2 linked regions of the Mytilus edulis genome follow. The main gene of each other region encodes a partner of the protein of the gene in region 2 in a complex. Links are inferred from orthologs where the notes say so. Each region holds a gene or a part of one and is shown on either strand. Other genes may lie near its edges.

Region 1 (11,647 bases), on a different chromosome or scaffold from region 2:
TTTATCAAATTGTAGCTCCATAAAGCTTTATAATAAACCATGAAATTAAGCAAGAAACTCACTGATTTATACATTAACAGCTCCCAGAGGCATCACAAACCTCTTTATATCAACCTTCCATCAGTTGCAATTCTTTAAAGTATGCCAAACCAGAAAACAATTCGATATCAAAACACAATTTGGTCTCAGTAAAGCTTGAGAGAAAGAAGAGGAAAGAAAATATACAGCAGCAAAGCAGGCAACTTTCATGCATAATGCAACAGCATACAAAATATCAATAAGACTATTGAAAAATATGAAATACTACTTTAAAAAGAAACATCATCAGAACAATATTCATAATCGTATGATTTAAAAATTTCAAAGACACAGGAGAATAATTTGTGAACGGGACAATGTATGTGAGTTGCTTGGATACTAATGCAACAGTTTACTAAATATAAAATGTGAATCGTAAATTATGATTATGAAATAAATGTTTTATTCAAACCTTTTGTGTTTTTTCTTTTTCTTTTTCTCTATTTTCTTTTTCTTTTCTTCTACCTTATACTTTTCTAAAAAATACAATATGAAAATTTATTTCTGTATAATAATAAACTTTTAAACCAGGTGCTCCGCAGGGCGCAGCTTTATACGACCGCAGAGGTCGAACCCTGAACAGTTGGGGCAAGTATGGACAAAACATTCAAGCGTGATACAGCTCTGAATTTGGATTGTGATCAAATTTTTGACATTACATGGTTTTTTTTACACAAAACAAATGTCAAGATTTTACAAATCAATTAAAGATTTCTCCTTCAAACTTATTTAAATCTAAAATTAAATAGTTGACACAGCATAGGTTTCTGACACCGAATGAATGTGGTCTAATGAACTTAAAAATTTTTTTTTGCCTTTGAGCAATTCACTATGCTGTTGAATATTAATCCTCTAAAAAAAATGTTTGAAGAAATTTTCTTTTTATTTATGAAATCTGAAATGAGAAAATTTTAACCCCCCCCCCCCCCACCCCATTTTTTTCACATCCACGTTTCCCTTTTTCCAAAACTGATATCAATTCAAATTTCTAATGGAGTTTGCAACAATAACTACTCTTTTAAATACATCATAAAATATTAAAATGTAAAATAAAGTGCTTGTTATCACTGAATGGTAAAGATTGGTTGGTAGTAAAAGTGAATATACATTGTTTATTGTATAAAACAATAAAAAAAACTTCATCAGCAACATTTAATATTGGCAAATTTCCAATGAAGTTATTTACATAAAGTTATTGGCAAATAAAAATAGAAAATGACATCATAGTCATGTCTGGCAAATGTCCAACATACATTATCTAAAAACATTTTAGATAAGATAAGGAAAAAAAGCTTCATCAGCAACATTTTATATTGGCAAATTTCCAATGAAGTTATTTACATAAAGTTATTGGCAAATAAAAATAGAAAATGACATCATAGTCATGTCTGGCAAATTTCCAACATATATTATCAACTACTATTCTATACAAAAAAAGATAACTCCAATTGAAAATTAATTGCTATTGCACAATATTGTGCAATTAGATATTTCTTGCTATTGTGCAATACTGTGCAATTGAAAATTTCTTGCTATTGCACAATACTTGATATGGAATCCTGATTTGGACCAACTTGAAAACTGGGCCCATAATCAAAAATCAAAGTACATGTTTAGATAAAGCATATCAAATAAGCCCAAGAATTTAATTTTTGTTAAAATCAAACTTAGTTTAATTTTGGACCCTTTGGACCTTAATGTAGAACAATTTGAAAACTGGACCAAAAATTAAGAATCTACATACACAGTTAGATTTGGCATATCAAAGAACCCATTTATTCAATTTTTGATGAAATCAAACAAAGTTTAATTTTGGACCAACTTGAAAACTAGGCCAATAATTAAAAATCTAAGTACATTTTTAAATTCAGCATATCAAAGAAACCCAAAGATTCAATTTTTGGTTAAAATCAAACTAAGTTTAATTTTGGACCCTTTGGACCTTAATGTAGACCAATTTGAAAACGGGACCAAAAATTAAGAATATACATACATAGTTAGATTCAGCATATCAAAGAACCCCAATTATTCAATTTTTGATGAAATCACACAAAGTTCAATTTTGGACCCTTTGGGCCCCTTATTCCTAAACTGTTGGGACCAAAACTCCCAAAATCAATCCCAACCTTCCTTTTGTGGTCATAAACCTTGTGTTTAAATTTCATTGATTTCTATTTACTTATACTAAAGTTATTGTGCGAAAACCAAGAATAATGCTTATTTGGGCCCTTTTTTGGCCCTTAATTCCTAAACTGTTGAAACCAAAACTCCCAAAATCAATCCCAACCGTCCTTTTGTGGTCATAAACCTTGTGTCAAAATTTCATAGATTTCTATTCACTTAAACTAAAGTTATAGTGCGAAAACCAAGAAAATGCTTATTTGGGCCCTTTTTGGCCCCTAATTCCTAAAATATTGGGACAAAAACTCCCAAAATCAATCCAAACCTTCCTTTTGTGGTCATAAACCTTGTTATAAAATTTCATTGATTTCTATTCACTTTTACTTAAGTTAGAGTGCGAAAACTAAAGGTATTCGGACGACGACGACGACGACGCCAACGTGATAGCAATATACGACCAAAAAATTAAAATTTTTGCGGTCGTATAAAAACCACATGGATCTATCTTTCATATAATTGTAAGTCAGTTAACTTCCCATAAATGATAACTAAATAATATAATAACATGGTTACCTGGGAAAGCTTGAACTGATACAGCATTTCAGAGTTAATCAAAGCTGATTCATTATATCCAATTAAATACATTTTGTAACAGACATCAAATAATTGAAAATAAGAACACAATTTAAACTGAGATAATGTATATGTAACTGTAAATCTAGATCTGAGTGACAAATTTTGTCTGGTAAAAAACTTTAAACACCTCATACATGTACATGTCATACACTCCTTATTGTTCACTAACTCAATAGATTTGTTATTAAACTTTTATAATTGAATGCCATTAAGTTATAAATAAATGAGTTATAGCTGATCATATACATGTATTACAATGCATTAGCGACAAGATCTCCTCAAAATATAACTCAGTGACAAAAAATAAACAGATGAACAAACCTTGTTGAAACTGACTGAGTGGTGAAATAAAATCATCTTCTGAGGAATCTGAGCTAGTACTACTGACATCTAAAACAATATCTTTACCAGGATCTGCCTTCACAAAGTTACGACACTGAAATGTTAGATGTCCAGCTAAAAAACATAATGAAAATAAAATAAGAAATTTTGTCTAAGCATTCTAAGGACATGAATGCCCTTGCTCAAGCTTTGCAATTTTCAATTATCAAAACGTTTAATGACTCACTGCCCAAATTAGAACTTAGTCTGCATGTTAAATAAAAACTTACCTAGAGTGAGTAAATTAAAATATTTACAATTTTCCAAAGTATAAAGGGGTATAACTCTAGAAAGGTTAATGAAATATTGCCAGAATTTAAACTCTGCGTGTTGTGGTTTTCAGCAATGATCAGCAATACCTTTAGTCCAGTCAAACTAAGTTTGAACCTCAAACTAATTGCAACAGAAAATGCTTTAATTCTAATCTATAGCATTTAGCCCCAAATATATACAGAAAGAAGTCCCATAAAATCTAATTTGAGGAAAACTCAAATTTTGCATTTTTAATTTCTTATAGAAATTAACATTGGAAAGGGAGATAACTCAGCAAAAATGAGACTTTTATGTCAGTTTTTGTTTGATTTTCTTAAAATTCATGTAATATATGATACTTTGATGGAGTTATAACTTCGTATTTGACTATATTATATAATCTTCTGCTCATGAAATGTACAAAACCGAAGTGCTATGCATATTTTTTTAATTCTTTTTGCACATTTTCATTAAAAAAATTGCAAATTTATGGCCTAGTGACCATTTTGAAAAAATGAATATTTGGTATTATTTCTATCTGTAAATTATATTTGTTCAGCATCTACCTTGTTCATAGAAACTTTAAACCACAAAAAGAGGAATATATGCTTAATTAGTTTTATTATTCAATTTGAGATTCTTTACCTTAACATGCTGAAAAATCTAATAAATGGTCAACTATTTAATTATGAAGTCTAGGTTCTAGCTTGATAAAAGATATGATAATACCTTAAGAGTTCTTTGTTATACTCTAAAGATGACTCAAATATCAAGAATCAATACATTCTGTTGAATAGAAGCGGTAAAGTTATAACTTTTTATCAATCTTTATTGATATTTCTGCATTTTTGCAGAGTTATCTCCCATATGAACGCAAATCTCCATAGGAATTTTAAAATCATGATTTTTTAGTTTTCCACAAGTTATATTTTATAGGACTTTTTTCTGTGTATATTTGGGGTATAATGCTAAAGATTAAAACTTATGTATGCTAGATTGACTGGACTACCAATGATTTTCTTAAAATTTGGATGAGGCAAACTTAAGTTAGAGTGCGAACATGAACAGACTTGCATTTCCAAGTTATACTTATAAAAGGGCATAACTAACTGTAAATGACTCTGTGATCAAATTTGATCTCTGTCTGCCACTTTTGGTTTTTAGCACCATGTATGACTTTCAGAAAGTTTGGATGAGGAAAACATAACCAAGAGTGGTAAAACAAAAATGGGTCAGACAAAAGGACTGACAGATGGACAGAGGGATAGTCAAGGGTAACAATTAATGCCCATGTTGCCTACGGTTGAGGCATAAAAAGAAAACATAATTATACTTAAAGGAATAGGAATGAAATAGTCATGGCTGGTAAAAGATTTCCATTACACTGCACGTCTTATGATACGGAAATAAGAATGCTATAATGTCTCAACTGCTCAATTAACTATTTTTTCTATATAATAGCTCAATAGAAGTAAGTAGACAGTTATTTAGATAAAAAAAAAATCATTCAATTTTAATAAAAATTAAATAATGCCTGAATATTTTAAAACAAGAATGTGTCCTCAGTCCACGAAAGCCCCACTCGCACTATCATTTTCCATGTTCAGTGGACCGTGAAATTGGGGTAAAAACTCTAATTTGGCATTAAAATTAGAAAGATCATATCATAGGGGACATGTGTACTAAGTTTGAAGTCGATTGGACTTAAACTTCATCAAAAACTACCTTGACCAAAAACTTTAACCTGAAGCGGGACAGACGGACGGACACACAGACCAGAAAACATAATGCCCCTCTACTATCGTAGGTGGGGCATAAAAAATAAACCAGAACAATCCACATTGTCAATTAAAGACTTGTGAATTGAGATGTCGCAAGTGGGAGCAGTGTGACAAATTAAAAACAAAGATCATGCAAGTGAGGAATGTATATAGCAATAAACAAACTACATTATTTCATGATTATCATGAAGTTTTAAAAGATATAGTAACTTGCCTATGCTGTTAAATGGTACACAGCTGAATACTGTGAATTTATTTATTTTTGTTGATACTATAGTAAAAATAATATATAGTGGTATTTGATTTCAAGGTTTTTGCAATGTCTTATTACAAGCCTTTAGAATATTTGTACTTTGTTAAACATGAAAAAGTTTGTTTTACCAATACCAAGGATTAGTTTACAAATCCTTGCATTTACCCACAAATTCCATAAAATTTGGTATCCCATATAAAGACTCTTCAGTATTAAATACAATACAATCTGCTATACATACCATATCCACATTTTTTACAGGCTGGTTTAAGTCCATCATTTTTATTGGTGTATTTGCTGCCTATGCCTAAAAGTTTTAAAAAAAATAATGTTGATAAGGCATCAGTCATGTCAGTCAAAGATTAAAATCAAATAATAAGACCTAAAAGATTGGAATATCTTGCCTGCTATTTATTATTGAAAACCCGAAGGGACTTCTTTCAACATGTTAATAGAGATTTTATTTGTCGATAGATTATATCATTATTTTATAATAAAAAAAAAATATCTTGCTTCACTTTTGATGATTTTTCAAATACCCGCAAAGTTGTTATAATGTATGTGACCTCATGGATTAGAAAATACTTTTAAATAAAATTCATCTGTTAGACAATAATGATAGGACATTAACTTAAGCATAATAAATTAAATACATGTAACACATAGTGAGAGGATGATAGAGCAGATTGGTAACCCTCAAAAAAGCATTGTCAATCTTGGCTTGGTAGTGATTGACACTGTATTCTTTGGTAACAATCTGTCATTGGATGCCAAATTGACTTTAAATGGGTGCCTATTTTTAACCAGATGTCGATTTAACAAGGTGCCAATTTGACTTTTTCTGTGGGTGCTGATTTAACTTTTAGTTGTATCCCAATCTGCTCTATCGTCCAATGTTTTATTTATATATGGCAGTGTCTGCGCCTGTCTGCGAGTACCTGCATACGGATACACTTAGCCAAATTGGCCTTTTTAGGCTATGTGTACCCGCAACCGATTTTATAAGAAAGTGTCATATGATTGGGAAAGCAACGTGAAAGATACACAAAAATTATTGGTTATTTTTCTGATTTTGTGAATTCTGTGAAGATAATAGCAAATAATATTTTTTAAATTGTTTTTAATGTATTAGTTAGAAAAATAGAAATCAAATATAAATGCATATTTTTACGAAAGTGTATCACGGTACGTCGTAAAATAATAATAGGCGTAGAACTTTTTTTTTCATATATATTGACATTTCAAATCTTAAAATCTCTGTGAGTAATCAATTTATTCTCTCACTTATTGCGATGTTTTCTGAGTTAATTTTACAATTTATTCCTGATCCGATGACATTAAATTATAAAACTGGAGGCGGGTGTGCGTAGCCGTAGCCTACAAAGGCCAATTTGGCTACGCATACCTCACATGCAGGTACGTACATACACTACCTATTCATATACTCATTATTACTGTCATCTGCGAAGAGTCGGATTTTACTATGTTGGATGTATTTTGGGAGGTCGTTTATGTAAATTAGAATAGTATTGGTCCTAGCACTGTACCCAGTGTGACACCTGATCATGTGACTGGTATAATTTTTAAAGATGACTCTTTCTAAAAGTACTGACTACTGTTTTTGTTTGTGTTCTGTTTGACAAAAATGATTCAATCCAGTTTATTATTTGATTCCTGTCATGAACAAGTTGTATCAAATTTGTCTTTCTTTGTTTACCTTGCATTGTGTCATAAATCGTAAAACTGCGGAATGGTCTAAATTTTTTGGTTAGGTACCTAAGGGAGATAATCTGGTATCATTCAAGTCAAAACTAAAAGAAAATCAACATTAACTTTCCATGATTATTACGAAATTACATTCTGTTTAAAAAATCCCATAAATAATCAAATATAATGAATATTATGAATTTGAATATGAAATTCTTAGTTTATTATACAAATACATCATTTACTATTTTATCTTTTAGTTAGACCTAAACAAAATGGCTGCGCCCATTGACATTTCAAATTAATGGTCTAGTTTGTTTTTGTTTGACAGGCTATGAGCAATATTTATATACAAGAACCGCCTACGAGCGGAAAGGTAGAAAATTAGTGTTTTACTTTGCTGTTTAAAAAAAAAGTAAACAGTCTTGCTATATTATAACTCCAGCAGACAGTTGACAATATCAATAACAACAGCTGTTTTACTATCTTTCTATCTGTATATTTTAAGCCAATGAATTTTACTGACACCTCATCTTGGAATGTCTTCTTCTTCTTCTCCTTCTTCTTTAGTTACAGAAAACCATCAACATTTTGAAGATTACATTCTGGTGCATGCTTGATTGAGGTTCTTCTTCTTCTTCCAGGTAAGGAACCAGATTCATTGCTGAATGTTAATGGTTCCGCACGAAAACTTTACGCAGTGTCGGGCAACACAGAAAGATTTCTCTTGGCTATTTACAAATTACATTTAAAACGTTCGCAGAAAAATATACAATTAAAATTATTTACAACTGGTTTTCCTACTTCCTTTCAGAGCATGCCTTCAGGGCAGCTCTGAATCCCTCAACGGTGTTGGTCGCTGTAACTGTCGTTGGTAGGTTGTTCCAGTCCCTGATTGTCCTCGGGAAGAAAGATTGGCCGTAGGTGTCTGTACTTGTTCTTTCTTGGAAGAAGCGGTTTTTACCTCTGGTCCGGTTATCATTCGGTGTCAAATATTTGTGACGGTCTATATCTATAAGTTCATGCTGGATCTTGAATAGCATGCACAATCTATTTGTTTTCCTCCGTTCTTCGAGGCTTTCCCACTTTAGATTTTTAACCATATTTGTGACACAGCCAGGTGTTCGGTCTGTGTAGTTGTTATTCACAAATTCGTGCAGCTCTTTTCTGAACCTGTTCAATTGCCTTGATTTTATTTTGAGCGGTTGGGTCCCATACTGTGCTTGCATATTCCACTGCAGGTCTTACCATGGACACATATGCAGCTGCCTTTACAGGTTTTGTACAGCCTTTGAGGTTTCTACGTATAAACCCCAAAGTTCTGTTTCCTTTGCCTACTGTATTGTCTATGTGTTTATCCCATGTTAGGTTGTTACTGATGGTTACTCCAAGATATTTACTTGCTTCCTCTGGTTGCCTTTTAAAGTTTTTAAAAATTTTGTCATCATGGTCATAATGCAATTTCTCATTGTATAATAATTGCATAATGACAAGGAGAAAAATTAGAATAGTTTTACAGTTCTGCCAACTTTTCGTGAAGCAAATGTGTAAGATTTTGTCAAAATTGAAAAGATCAAAGAGAAAAAACAATACATGTAGATCAAAAGAAAATGCCAAAAAAAAAAGCACACACATGCGTGAGACTTGGCAGGTTTTATATATACATGTATTATAAAAAAAATAAAATTTATTTAGGTGTCCATGTTTTAATTTATGCAAGCTTCTCCTCATTGTTGTATCTTTTTCAAATAAAAGATCAAATATTTGACAAGGTTATATTTGTCTTCAAATTTCAATGGGACCTGAATGTAACGGTCATCTTGTCGTGATGTCATATACATTTTGTATCAGATGACGTCGTGTTTGGACATCTGAGGTCACAAACATCCAGCGGTCGTATTTTCTGGCACATGAAATGCAACCTTGAAAAACAACTGGCAGTAAGAGGGTTAACAATTGACAGGAACATATAAATTGATACAGGTTCCAATTTTTGCCATTTAACTGACTTAAAATTATTCAAGGTCTTTGCCGTCACTGTTAAATCAGACCGGTTATTCCACTGATCCACTACTCTAATTGAAAAAGTATTTAGTCTATGTCAGTATGTGTTGTCTTACAATGTTTCTTAAAAAGTTTTTTAAGGAGTGACCTTTCGTATACATTTTGTAACATTATAATAAGATGGTGATTAAGTAAATAAGCTCAATGAACGTAACCTATCTTCAAAACTTAAATGATTTATGTTCTTGACGAGTTAAGTGGTCTTTCTTTGGACAGATTCAAATTTACAAATATTTTTTTAAGAGTGGCGACACCTGTAGCATATTCCAACTTTTGTTTTTAAATCGGTTCTCATTAATTCAAAATTTTAGAATGTACCAATACATGATCTTCAAAATGGAGATATTCTATTTGTTAATATTTATTTCTAATTATCCTACCTGATAGCATAATAAGAGGTTCTTTTTCCTGGAAAAATTTGATTTCTAACAGCAAATACCTTTGACTTGTTTCATTTGAACAACAACAAGATAAAAATGTCTCTAGTGTAAAAAGAATTGAAAATACTTTTTCATTATTGAATAAACAACTTGGTACACTTGAACAATCATTAATGACATTATAATGATATCATGCAATAAACGATTTCTGTCAGTGCAGGTTTTTCCATCACACTTGTGCTCATTGGTTGTAGAAGTTAATATAAACGGCTCATGGTTAAGGTCACTCCATACAGAAAAGCTGTAATCAAATTTGAGTATTGGAACACGACAATAAATAAATAGCAGTTAGCTATGACATGTACATGTATGAAGATTAGGATGTTCATTTACAAGAAAGTTTATGCACATATCATATGTTTTATAATAAAACTTTTCCATTCCATTCAAGTATTGAAAATATATTTTCATCTGTTACTTAGCGCATAACTACTTGAGCTAGTGAATATAATGTAGCTGAGAAAAAGAAAACATTAGTTAATGAAATTAGGTTTAATCAGAAGTATATCTCATCTAAGAATTGTGATAAAAGAAGGAGCACAAACCTTGTTCTTTGAGATAAGTAGATATAAAAAAGAAGGTTATTAGACTATATTACATGTACATGTACTTGTATGTGAAGCCTCATATAATTTTATGTTCAAACAATGTAGAAAAGCTTGCCTAGTTGAGAGTCTCAATGTTTAATCTGTTTCAACTTGATTCACATGAACATGACCATCTGTATTATGTTAAATCTATTTGTAGGTTCTATTAGATACAAGTGTAGGAGACATTGACATAGAATTATGGTCGAAGGAAGCCCCTAAAGCATGTCGAAACTTTGTTCAGTTGTGTATGGAGGGATATTATGAGGATACAATTTTCCATCGCATTATCAAGGATTTCATTGCACAAGGAGGGGACCCATCAGGCACTGGAGATGGTGGTGAATCTATTTATGGTCATCCATTTAAGGTAAAGTGTTTTACATCTTCAGTCAGTTTTACATATATATATTGAATAAAAACTGATTATTTCGTTTGTTTATTGTCAAATAGAGAATGTGTTTGGTATATAGATGCTTTAAAATTAAAAAAAACAACACATAATAGATAATGTTTTTCGTATAAATCAGTGGCAGATCCAGAACTTTTTGTAAGGGAGGGCCTGTTGACTGACCTAAAAAGGGGGGGGGGGGCTGGTCCAGTCATGCTTCAGTGATTCCCTATAAAACTGATTATTTCATTTGTTTATTGTCAAATAGAGAATGTGTTTGATATAGATGCTTTAAAATTTAAAAAAAACAAAAAAACACATAATTATAGATTAGGTTTTTAATATAAATTATAATGGTGTACAAATACTGATGAATTTACAAACATCATCAACTTTAAGTTTTATTTGCAAGATTTTGTGTATTAAAAGAATATAATCATGATAATCAAAAGGCGTTTTCAACATGTTACATACATGTATGTTGACTTTGTTTCCTTAAGATTGTTTCAGTAATCAACTAAATTAAAAACTTACATCGTACATGTTTCATGATATTAATATGTTTCATGTCACAATAAACATCATAAGGAAACAATATAAAACATATAATCTAACACTTGCCAACTGTTTTGTAATCAATAATGACTTTTGATTTGTTTCAGGATGAAATTCATTCAAGACTTCGTTTTGTTAGAAGAGGACTGGTTGCCATGGCAAATGCAGGGCCGAATGACAATGGTAGTCAGTTCTTTTTCACTTTGGACAAAACACCAGAGCTGCAAAGTAAACACACCATTTTTGGAAAAGTAAGATTTATTATACATGTAGTTTCTGTTTTGGGTTGTCAATAAAAGTTCTTAAAATACACAATTATGAATTATATGTGTACGCAAGCCTTAGTTTATTGGGGTTATATTTCCAGTTGATGTGTTAAAACAGATCATTGTCAGAAGAAG
Region 2 (10,658 bases):
CATCTACATGTACAAAGAAAAGATAACATGTATGAAGTTATCATATAACTATGTGCTTATTGCAGAGACATTTCTTTAGATATTTGTTATTTAGTGCAAAATTTTTTTTTGGGATAGATTGAGACAATATACATACATTGTACGTATAGTGTCTTGAAATATGAAATTTATTTGTATGAGGCTTAGAAACGGGGGAAATGCGAGGTTGTACCTGTTTCGTGCCGAATACAAATAAATTTCATATTTCAAGACACTGTACGTATATTGTCTTTATACTGAAATCGATAAAAAAATTTCAAAAAGGTAAAAAAAATATGTTACAAATATTGTTAAAAAAAAGTTTTTGGAATTTCCCTCATGGGGTACCATTTTGGGGTATTTCCCTTTGAGCGTAATCCAGGCGGTAAGACATTGACATTTTAAGGAATTAGAAAGAGAAAATGAACTTAATTAATAACATTTTATAAACATGGTATATAAATTACCAATTTGAAGACATAACAAGTTTAAATTCATAAAAGTTTGACCAATGTTACTACACGTTATTATGGTTGTGACTTGTTGATGAAACAGTGGTAGTTCCAGTAAGTAGGTGGGGCTTATAGGTTAGTTGAGGTCATTGACGTAAAAAGCAAACGTTTATACGTATAGCTTTATCTGTATAGTAAAATAGCTGATTGCAGTATAAAGAAAAATAATTCATTGATAATTAAATTTCATTTTTTTTATAACAGTATATATGTATTTCGGGAACTTACAATTAACCTTAAAACTATTTTATAGGGCCATTGCAATTAATCAGCTGTTCTAATATGTTTTTTGGGTTAAAAACAAGGTATTTATTTGTAATTCATATGTAAATAATACCTCATTTCCATTTCAGCATATTTTAGCCATATTGTTATGTTCCTATGGTCAACATCTAATGCTCTTTCCCAAACTGATCTGGCTCTGAAAAATTAAGTAAACAAAATTATTTTCCACATAGCAAAACTGCATTATTATAATGGTAGACTGCATTGGAGACCCATTGGTTGCTTTTGTCTGTTTTCTGCTATTTGGTCAGATTGTTGTCTTTTTTAAACTTGTTATTGTTTCCAGTGTCAATTTTATGAAATTTTATTTCCTATTGAATATATTTTAAAAATCATTTCAGATATCTTACATTCAATCAACATAGTATCACATTAACATGATGGTCAAAGGCTCCTATTCTATAAACCACATCCAGAACTTCAGCTAAGAAAGGAAAATTTACTCACACTGCTGAGAACCCTTAAGGGTATTGAAAGGTGAGTTGTCTCAGATAAAACATACTTAAAAGATGACTAGCAACTCTATTTTAATGGAAACAGTAACTATTTAAACAATAATAGCTGTCAACAAGTAATTTTTTATAATGTGAAATGGATATTTTATAAACAATACAAATGAATAGCTGAAAACACAGTTGGGAGAACACATTAAACATGTTTTGTTATTGTTGTTTTTTGTGCCCATACAAGTTGTTTCCCGAAAAGGTAAGTTTTTCAGTAGCAAGCAAAAGTGACTATAGACCTCAAAATTTTAGCTTCAATCCTGCTTACTAACTTACTTATAATGTGAACTTAAGAGAAAGCAGCAGGACCAATTTTATAGTCTTTAGTTTGATTTTGGCACAGATTCCACCAATATGTCATTTGTATGTGTACCTTACTATGCAACCATAAAGTTATTTTATTAGTTAAGATTAATTACCTTTGAACTTCTTGTTGTGAATCTTCCCACTGTGCATATTTAATCCAATTTATCATGACTGTTCTATTCTTCCTTATGTTATCCTCAGATGCCTATCATAAAAAATAATATAAGCAAGCTAAAAAAGCATACAAAGAATGTATATACATGTAATTAAAAGTCATTCAAAATAAAGATTTTATCCCTTTTTTTCAGTGAGTCATAACCCTCCTCCCTTAAAACAAACATTAATGAATTCACAGTACATGTATCAGAAATTTTCAAAAAGCATCCTGACATAGTCAACATTTTCTAAACAGCATCTTGTTTATATAGGGTAAAACTAATTTATAATTATAATTCTAAAAGAAATCTATTAGAAGGTAGAAATTTGAAATATAGGATTGGGCTCAAAAGACAAATATGCATGAAATTGCTAGAATCTCATAGTCCTTAAAGCAATCATATATAGATTTGTACTCACTTTTCTTTTCCTCATTTTATAAGCTGCTAATTCATCTGGATCTGATATCTTCTGTTTTGGAGGCTTTAATATAAAAGTTTGCTTATATCAGTATTGTTATCATGTTAATGTGACCTTTCTCAATATATTGAAAATGACTAACTAATTAAATCAAATCAAATTGATACTTGTTAAAATTCAAAAGGAGTTAACAAAAAATACCAGCTATAGCTAGAGCCATATACAAACGTAGACACGATCAAGTTATACTTTATCATTCAAGAGCATCTTTTAAATCTATTAGGTACTGAAACCAATATTGCAAAGTTTACAAAATCTCAAATCAGGTGATTTAAACAAAGGATATATTTTTTTCAACATCTGATTTAAATAAAAAGCTGTTGGTAAAATTTTAATGAAATTGAAAACTTTTAGGAACCCCTATGATTTTTTTGAATAACATAGAGTAACATACTGGAGGTACAAGCTCCAATTCCCTCTCTTTGGCCTCTCTGAGTAACTGTTCTGCAGTAATCTGGACTGGTGCTGGCATCTTGTTCTTAACCTTCAAACAAAGAGAATGAAAGTCAATATACAGTAGTTTAAAAAAAAAATTGAACTACTAATGAACATGATGAACTCAAAATCGTTAACTTTCAATTTTCAGACTTTTTTCATTTTTCCACATTTTCCCAGAAATCTCTTTTTTTCTTCTCGTTTTTTTTGTGATAACTTGTAAAATTGGAAGGAGTATCATATTGTTTCCATCTAATTTGGTGTTTGTTTGATAAGTGTTTGATATGAAAAATAAAATAATGTTACCTGATGAGTGTTTCTTTGTTTACATTGAAAATGATGTCACAACTTAAATCCCTTACAACAGGACCAACGTTGGAAAAGTTTCCATATTTCCGTTTCTGTTTTAAGAGTTTGAAAGCAAAATATGCTGGACTATTAAAAAACAAAGTATTCAGACTATGTCGTCCCCTTTTATTAAACAGGTTCTAAATTTAAAATATGAATGACTTTGTCCCCTTTCACAGGTAACATCTGTCTATAATAAGGGGACGAATTCCCCTATAACAGTAGAAAAAATAAATAAAAAAAATATATATAATTTTAATGAACTCAAAAGTGTTGACTTTTTTTCCAGATTCATTTGTCATGAGACTTCGAGTATTCCTAACAACAAAATCAACATCTGAAACGTTACGTAAAATTAAAAAAATTGATACAGACTTCGTTCCCTTTCACAGGTAATGCCTGCCTCATATTATTATATGGGGACGAAGTCCCCAATTACGGTAGAAAAATCAATAAAAAAAAAAAAAAAAATCGGGAATATTTCCAGAATTTTTCATTCTACTAATCATGCTAATGACAGTGTTGGACACAGCCAGTCGCCTGGTCGCCAATGGACCAGCACCTTGATTGGGCGATTAGAAATTGTCAAGATGAATAGTAACTGGCCCAAAAATAAATCATTGGGCGAGTGTATATCATTCTCAAAATCGTAGTTTACTCCTATAATAAACCACCTCAACTTCGGAACACCCATTTTCGGAAATCCTCTGTTCACATCGTTAAAACGTGCAAGTGCATCAAAATATCAATATAGCATTTACAAACGCATCGTGATAATGTGCTTGTTAATAGTGGGTCAAAAATAATTTTACTGACAATGATGGTCGCTAAACTATTGGTGTTTTATATAGGCTAGCGACAGTCATTGACAGTAAAACCTCATCTGACCCACTTAACCAAACAAGGGAAATGGGAATTATGAAAGGAAACCGGCAAACACGGAAACATCCAAGAAGCTGTCAAAATGTTTTTCATACGAATGTGGATAGTTAAACCCCCCAAGGACAGAAACAAGTGCATGTGGCAGTGACATAAGAAAATAATTCGCTTATAAAATATATGTAAAATGTCTTTTTATGTTGTTTTGCATTGACACTTTGGAGACCTCTGTTGAAATGACTGCATGACGGAATAGAATATCTATAGCAGAAATTCCCCGTGCTATTTTTAGATTATTTCGCATAAACTTGTTTAATTTTAAACGCAGCAGCAATATTTCCCCAGTGATAACACGAAATCACTATGCAACCGAAACGGCATTGGAACTTCGCCTCTCTCCTCTCTCTCTTGGAATGAGAAGTCACTTCTTCCTCTCCAAAATCCTAAATTAGGCACTGAACAGTGATGCTGAATTTTAGTGACAATGAAGACTACGGGAATGATTTTTTTAGGGTTATGTATCAGGAAGGTTTAATTGAGGAATTGAGAACATCTACCGTTTTTATATTGCTTTTTTGTCATTTTTTAAGGCTCAACGGGTAAAAAAAAATCGAGTAAAATAATTGGGCTACCAATATGCATTTTGGGCCTGTGAAGTTATTTTTACACTCGCCCAAAAAAAAAAATCCGGTCAGCCTTTGGCTGGCCTGACTGTCCTACACTGTAATGAACTCAATATCGTTAAATTTTTTTCAGATATACTTCCTTTTCTGGTCTGCATCTGCGCACAAATGTTTTCCAGTCGGTCTTGTTTGCATGAGACTGAATAAAATGTATATTTATCAACATATCAACAAATATAGGAAGGAATTCAACATCCAATCACTTTTAATAATTGTTGTCAGATATGAAAAAACGTTACCTGATAACAGCGTTTCTTTGTTTACATTATTATATGACGTCATAACTTAAATAACGTCACAACTAAATCCTAAACAACAGAACCAATATCGGAAACCTTACGGTATTTCCGTTTCTTTTATCAACATGATTGAATTTTAAAAATATAATAATACAGACTTCTTCTCCATTTACAGGTAATGCCTGTCTCATATTAAAAACTTAAGACAGGAGGTCCCATTTGAATTCTTGACAGTCAGAGTTTGTTTTCATACAGTTAGAGTTGTCTTTTTGCAGACAGACCAATTTTACTCCGGTCGAGTTTTCTCGCACCCATTCGGTTCTTTACCCTTCTAGATTTCCTCAAAATCATTGAAAATGTAAACTGGTTAATGCATAAAAATTGAAATGCCAAGTTGGGTCATAAATATAGGATAAACATTTTTAAAGTTTGAGAACGTCACCTTTGCCACTTTAGGCATTTTGCGTTTGCCATCTTCGTCAACTTCAAGCATCTTGTTAAATTAACATAAACAGCGCCTTTTAAATATAAAACTAACTACAAAGCAAGTGTGGACGTTCAAATATCGAAATTTTGTTTTTCCGGAAACGGAAATAGAAATGTTCGAAACTTATGACAAATATTCAGAAGAAATAAATACACTGCAGTCCCTCTTTTACTTTAAAAAATGATTGTAAATTACATTATATGATAATATATTATATGTTATTTTGTTGAAGAAATCATATTAGATATTTGTTGATATACGAAACTTTTAACGTATCGTTGCTAAGTAGCAGCTTTGCAATGGCGGTAAAGCTTTGAGATATCCAAAAAAGTGAGAATATATATTGATTATCCACACTAACTGTATGAGAAATAGGCATTTGAGTAATTCTTAGTTAAAAAATAAGACTTTAAATTGAACTAGTCCTTATATCACTTACTAATCAGGCACATTTTATGCATGTCACGCTTAAGCAAATGATAGGTTGGACATGAAATTTGGAATTATATAGCTGTTTTCTCATATGACTGCCCATGAATTTCCCTGTCAACCTCGTTTAACTCAATAAACTTCTTCAACTTGATTGAACAATAAAGTATTTTCACAAATTTTACCGATTTTGTAAGGAAACTTGACGTTTTAGTTCTTGGCAGGTTTCAGGGGATGTTGTCAACAAACAGAATTAACAGATTTTTTCCTTTACGAGTTGCAGGTTTTTTGAATAGGGGTTCTGTGTAGTCATTGATACAAGAGTTCTGTGACGAGACTTGTATTTTAATTGATTAATGACACTTTCTTTACCTTTTTGCGATTAAAAGTTCTTTTCAATTTAATTGCATATTTTTAGCTGGTACAATACGCCTTATCGCTAATCCCGGCTGACCTGGCCGCTTGAACTTTTGACGCATACAACAATCACTTTTCCACTGTGGTGTCAGATATTTTGTTTTATGACGTCAAGATTTTACGGGAACCTGTGTGATTTTCAGTAATGGCTGACAAATAGCGATAAGTTGTATCGATTCCAGTTCTGTTCGCTCTAAAGTACTATCGCGCCAATTCACATTAGCACCCTTGTTATTGATTTTATGATTAATATATTTGTAATCAAGTTTTGGTACGGTAATTATTATTTGTTGGATACCAATTTTCATTGATCATGTTGGTAAGGGAGAACCACAAAATAAAATAAAATATCATCAAACATGCCAGTTTTCCTTTATCCACAAACATTGGTTCCCATTAAATTTAATGAATCCTCAGTAAGTGTATTATTTTACATACCTGTCAACTGTCACTATTTGCGGGGGATTTCCCCCATGAAGGCTCCCAAATTGAAATTTTTCAAGAGCAATTATGTCCACAATTTTAACAAAACAATTAATTTTAAAATGAATTGAGGCTTATAAAAGTATGAAGAAGTCAAAAAACAACATTACACTGTATTTGAAGGCCCCCTTGAAGGTTTTTTAGAAGTATGGCAGCCATCTTGCACGCAAAACCCCCATGGTCATTTTGAAAACTTGGCAGGTATGTATTAATACTACAATAAATAATAATTTAAAACTTTATAAAAATGGACTACTGATCAAACACATATTACAGCATTTTTTTTCTTTCTTTCTGATTTTGCAAAAAGGGTTGTTGGCATTTATGCTACAGTCATCACAGTATTAATTTATACATTTTTGATTTAATTTGTTTCTAGAATTTGCATAAATTGGAAAACATGGCAACAATTACACCTGTGGATGGTCCCCCAGAGGTTGTAAATGCTAGAAGAACAGAATCGCTAGATGCACCACACATTATCAAGCTCGTGAACAGTTCAACTGACCAATTGTTTGGAAGAGTTAATGTTGTCAACTTAATGTAAGTCATAACAATCAGTTTGAAATAAGTCTAGAGATTGTTATGCATATAGTCAACAGTACCAAACATTGTATTTTACATATATGACATTATTAATTTCAAATACAAGAAAACCTGATTTAACATCCAAAATTGAAAAAATACACAACAAAATTGACCCTTTTTAATTATTGCCACAGCATGAAATATTTTTATATCTTACATGTATCTGACTGGTCATGGAGGTTCTATTGCATGGGAAAAAAACCACAGGATGTCTGTTATCATGTATTTGTTTTTGTTCAAAGACAAAAAGTCAGAAATATTACTGAAAGATATAAAAAGTCAGAAATATTTACCTAATGCTACATATACCATGTTACAATGTATTAAAAATATAACAGTACAAATATAGTATACAGAAAACCAAAATCTGGATTAAATTTTTTGAGTATTCTGTAAACAAAAAAAATATTTAATTGCATTTTGTGTATTTTGATTCTAAACTTTTCCAATTTATTGATTTTATCCTTGTTCATTAATTCACAGAGAGAAAGCTGTGTTAGCGGTCACTCTATGTAACGACAAAGAAGAAATCCTTGGCCATGCTGCATTCTTTGATTATCCCAACATTGAAGGTGTTGATCCATCAACATGGGAGGAGTGGTTCCACAAGATGTTTGATACTCCAAAAACATCAGCTCTAAATTCCTTGTACATGCATTATTTTGTTGCAAAGAAAGAATATGCCAGTGGTTGTGCAAGGGAGATAATCCGTACTGCATTTAATGCCGTTCCTGACTTACATTATTTATTCCTGAATGTACCAATGAAAGCTTATCCTGGTATGTTATTTAATAAAATACTGTGTCACAATGTCAGGGTTTACAAATTTTCATGGAGTACTTATTTTCATGCATTTACTAGATAGAAGATGTGAGACACTTATCAAAAATAAATTCTGTATGCTTGTATGCAGAATTGATTCAAACTTTAAAAACAAGTATCCACCAAAATACAATTTTTTTGCCCCATTTATGGGCATTATGTTTTCTGGTCTGTGCGTTTGTCTGTTCCTTCGTCAGTTCATTCTTCCATCTGTCCTGCTTCAGATTAAAGTTTTTGGTCGAGGTAGTTTTTTGGTGAAGTTGAAGTTCAATCCACTTGAAACTTAGTACACATGTTCCATATGATATGATCTTTCAAATTTTAATGTCAAATTGGAGATTTTTTCCCATTTTCACAGTCCACTGAACATAAAAAAAATGATAGTGTGGATGCGGCATTCATGTACTGGGGACGCATTCTTGTTCTTTAATCATTGGAACTGATATGTAGCCTCTTGATGTCCATGGAAATAATACTTGATGTGAATTTTGATATTTTTTATCACTTAATGGTGCATCTAAATATTGCATTCTTCTTGAATTTATCTTTCAGCTACAAATTGATTATTTGTCTAAAAAGGTTTAAAAAAAAAATTGTATAAATATTTCATCTTGCCCAAGTTTGATTTTGATAGCTATCGGATTCTGTTTGAGGGACTTTATCATGAAAACAGTGAATTACAATTAAAGAACATGTACATGTTCTTTAATCTCTCTTTTAATTCAATTTAAGAGTCATTGATTGAATTCAACATAGGTAACAATAAATTTCAGGATAGTTATTCAATACTCTTTCAATAGTGAATCTACAATTAATTTGGTGTAATATCATGTTTTCACCTCTATTCTATTGCAGATGCTTCACTTGACGGTGTATTCCAGCAGTTACCTAAAAGAGAGGGTGTTAGCAGTACACAAGGAGCACTGTTTGCTTGCTACAGACATAACCATGTTCCTGTTCTACATGTCAGAAAGGCAACGTATGTAGTAGAAATCATGTTGTCGGGGGATGATATTTTCATTTTGTAAAAAAATAGTTAGATATTATTGGGTCAGTTTTATTTGTCTTCTATTGTTTTTGTCCTAAACAAGTCTTATTAATTCTAAACACTACCTTTTACAGTGTGATTGAAATAGAAACAGTCATATTGTTACGGGACGGGGGTGTCCCAAAAGTAAAGGTATTTATATGAGGTTATAACCCTGGTTACTATATTCTTGGTAAATTCTGATATAGATCTGTCCACTCTGGTGTCGAGTTACAAACTAAGTTATACTGGTAGCGTAGCTGGTAAAATGGTCAAGACTATGGTAGCGTAGCAGGCAAAACAGTTAAGGCACTGGTCTAAATATGGTAGCCGCACAGAAACTCATTAACATTGACTTACTAATTACATGTACAACAGATAACATGTCAAGATTAATAAAGCTTCACAATTTATTATATACAAAACATTCAATACTATTCCAAGTATAAATCACATGAAAACCCAACAGAACAGTTTATAAAATATACAGAGACCCCCCTTTTCGGTACGTTAATCGTTTGTCAACATCGTAGTAAACGCAGTAAAACATCTAGGTCACTTATGGTTTGGTCCATTTATCCAACGGGGATGCAAAGGTACATGTATTGCATCGACTGCGGCACTTTTGGTTTGCTTTGCCTTTGGTAAGTTTCCTTGGTATCAGGAGTGACTGCCCTGGTAGCGGGCCGCAGTCTATCTGAAGACTTTTGTGCACTTGCTTTTATATCTCTGCCCCACCAACGTCACGTGCCCCTATGGATATGGTGGGCAAATTACGCTATGCTGATTGGATGCTGATCTTAGGTCATTAGGTCACTGACGTCAATAAACATAGTGATGCAAATGGCGGCGATCGGAATGTTGACATTCTGTCGAGTGGGGAAATGGACAAACGGGACCTATCTAAGCTTACTCTTAGCATGTATGGGCCCCGGTTTCAATATATATGCCTAACGCTAATAAAATAACAAGGTAATAAAGCAGGAACGTGTGAAATAGGAGTAAACAGAAGGTTGGAACATTCATTCAGTCGGGGGACCCCCCGTGGTCAAACAGTGAAGACGAACTCTATAGTATTATTCCCAGAGACCTGACTAACAATATTTACATACAATAACAATAAAAGTATACACAATGTTCATCAAATGTCTTTATATAAGCGTTGGCTAACAGTAAACGACGAACGCGAAAATAGAATAGAGTGTTTACGGAGTAGCCTGAAACAGTTGTATCTACAAACCTACAGCTTATACCCTAAACCGTAACAATATAACCATTAATTTAAATTTCACTTAATAGTGTATGTAAAAATCATTTCTGTCAAAACATTTTTTAAACAGATTTTCCTACTTTTTAGATTAATTAATTTTAAACTTTTATATTCTCTGATTTAAATATTGACTTTTACAGAGTTGAAGACCATGATGACTTGACACCCATCTTCAATCGTCATAGTGATATGCTGAAGATGGCTTATGGTGATTTCTTCCTTGCTGAATTGATTGAAGCACAAGATGACCATATGCAGTGTTTAGTAGCAGAGGTATAAAAAAAAATCAAT

Evidence for each region.
Region 1: crooked neck-like protein 1 (region 2) and spliceosome-associated protein CWC27 homolog share a complex: the UniProt entries of both Homo sapiens proteins name them as parts of the minor spliceosome. The link is inferred for Mytilus edulis from reciprocal best matches to the Homo sapiens genes CRNKL1 and CWC27.

Annotation. Positions count from the first base shown.
Region 1 is NC_092344.1:100,216,673-100,228,319, forward strand, and holds the start of spliceosome-associated protein CWC27 homolog, read left to right. Parts: upstream 1-7,456; 5' UTR 7,457-7,543; coding exon 7,544-7,585; intron 7,586-10,460; coding exon 10,461-10,670; intron 10,671-11,353; coding exon 11,354-11,497; intron 11,498-11,647. Other genes in the region: protein SREK1IP1-like, read right to left, coding at 491-554, 3,157-3,291, 5,744-5,809, 7,220-7,226. UniProt on the Homo sapiens protein: As part of the spliceosome, plays a role in pre-mRNA splicing. Probable inactive PPIase with no peptidyl-prolyl cis-trans isomerase activity. As a component of the minor spliceosome, involved in the splicing of U12-type introns in pre-mRNAs.
Region 2 is NC_092346.1:35,664,423-35,675,080, forward strand, and holds the start of crooked neck-like protein 1, read right to left. Parts: upstream 5,443-10,658; 5' UTR 5,338-5,442; coding exon 5,287-5,337; intron 2,745-5,286; coding exon 2,655-2,744; intron 2,264-2,654; coding exon 2,201-2,263; intron 1,830-2,200; coding exon 1,738-1,829; intron 952-1,737; coding exon 868-951; intron 1-867. Other genes in the region: cilia- and flagella-associated protein 61-like, read left to right, coding at 7,061-7,203, 7,732-8,027, 8,926-9,049, 10,508-10,640. UniProt on the Homo sapiens protein: Involved in pre-mRNA splicing process. As a component of the minor spliceosome, involved in the splicing of U12-type introns in pre-mRNAs.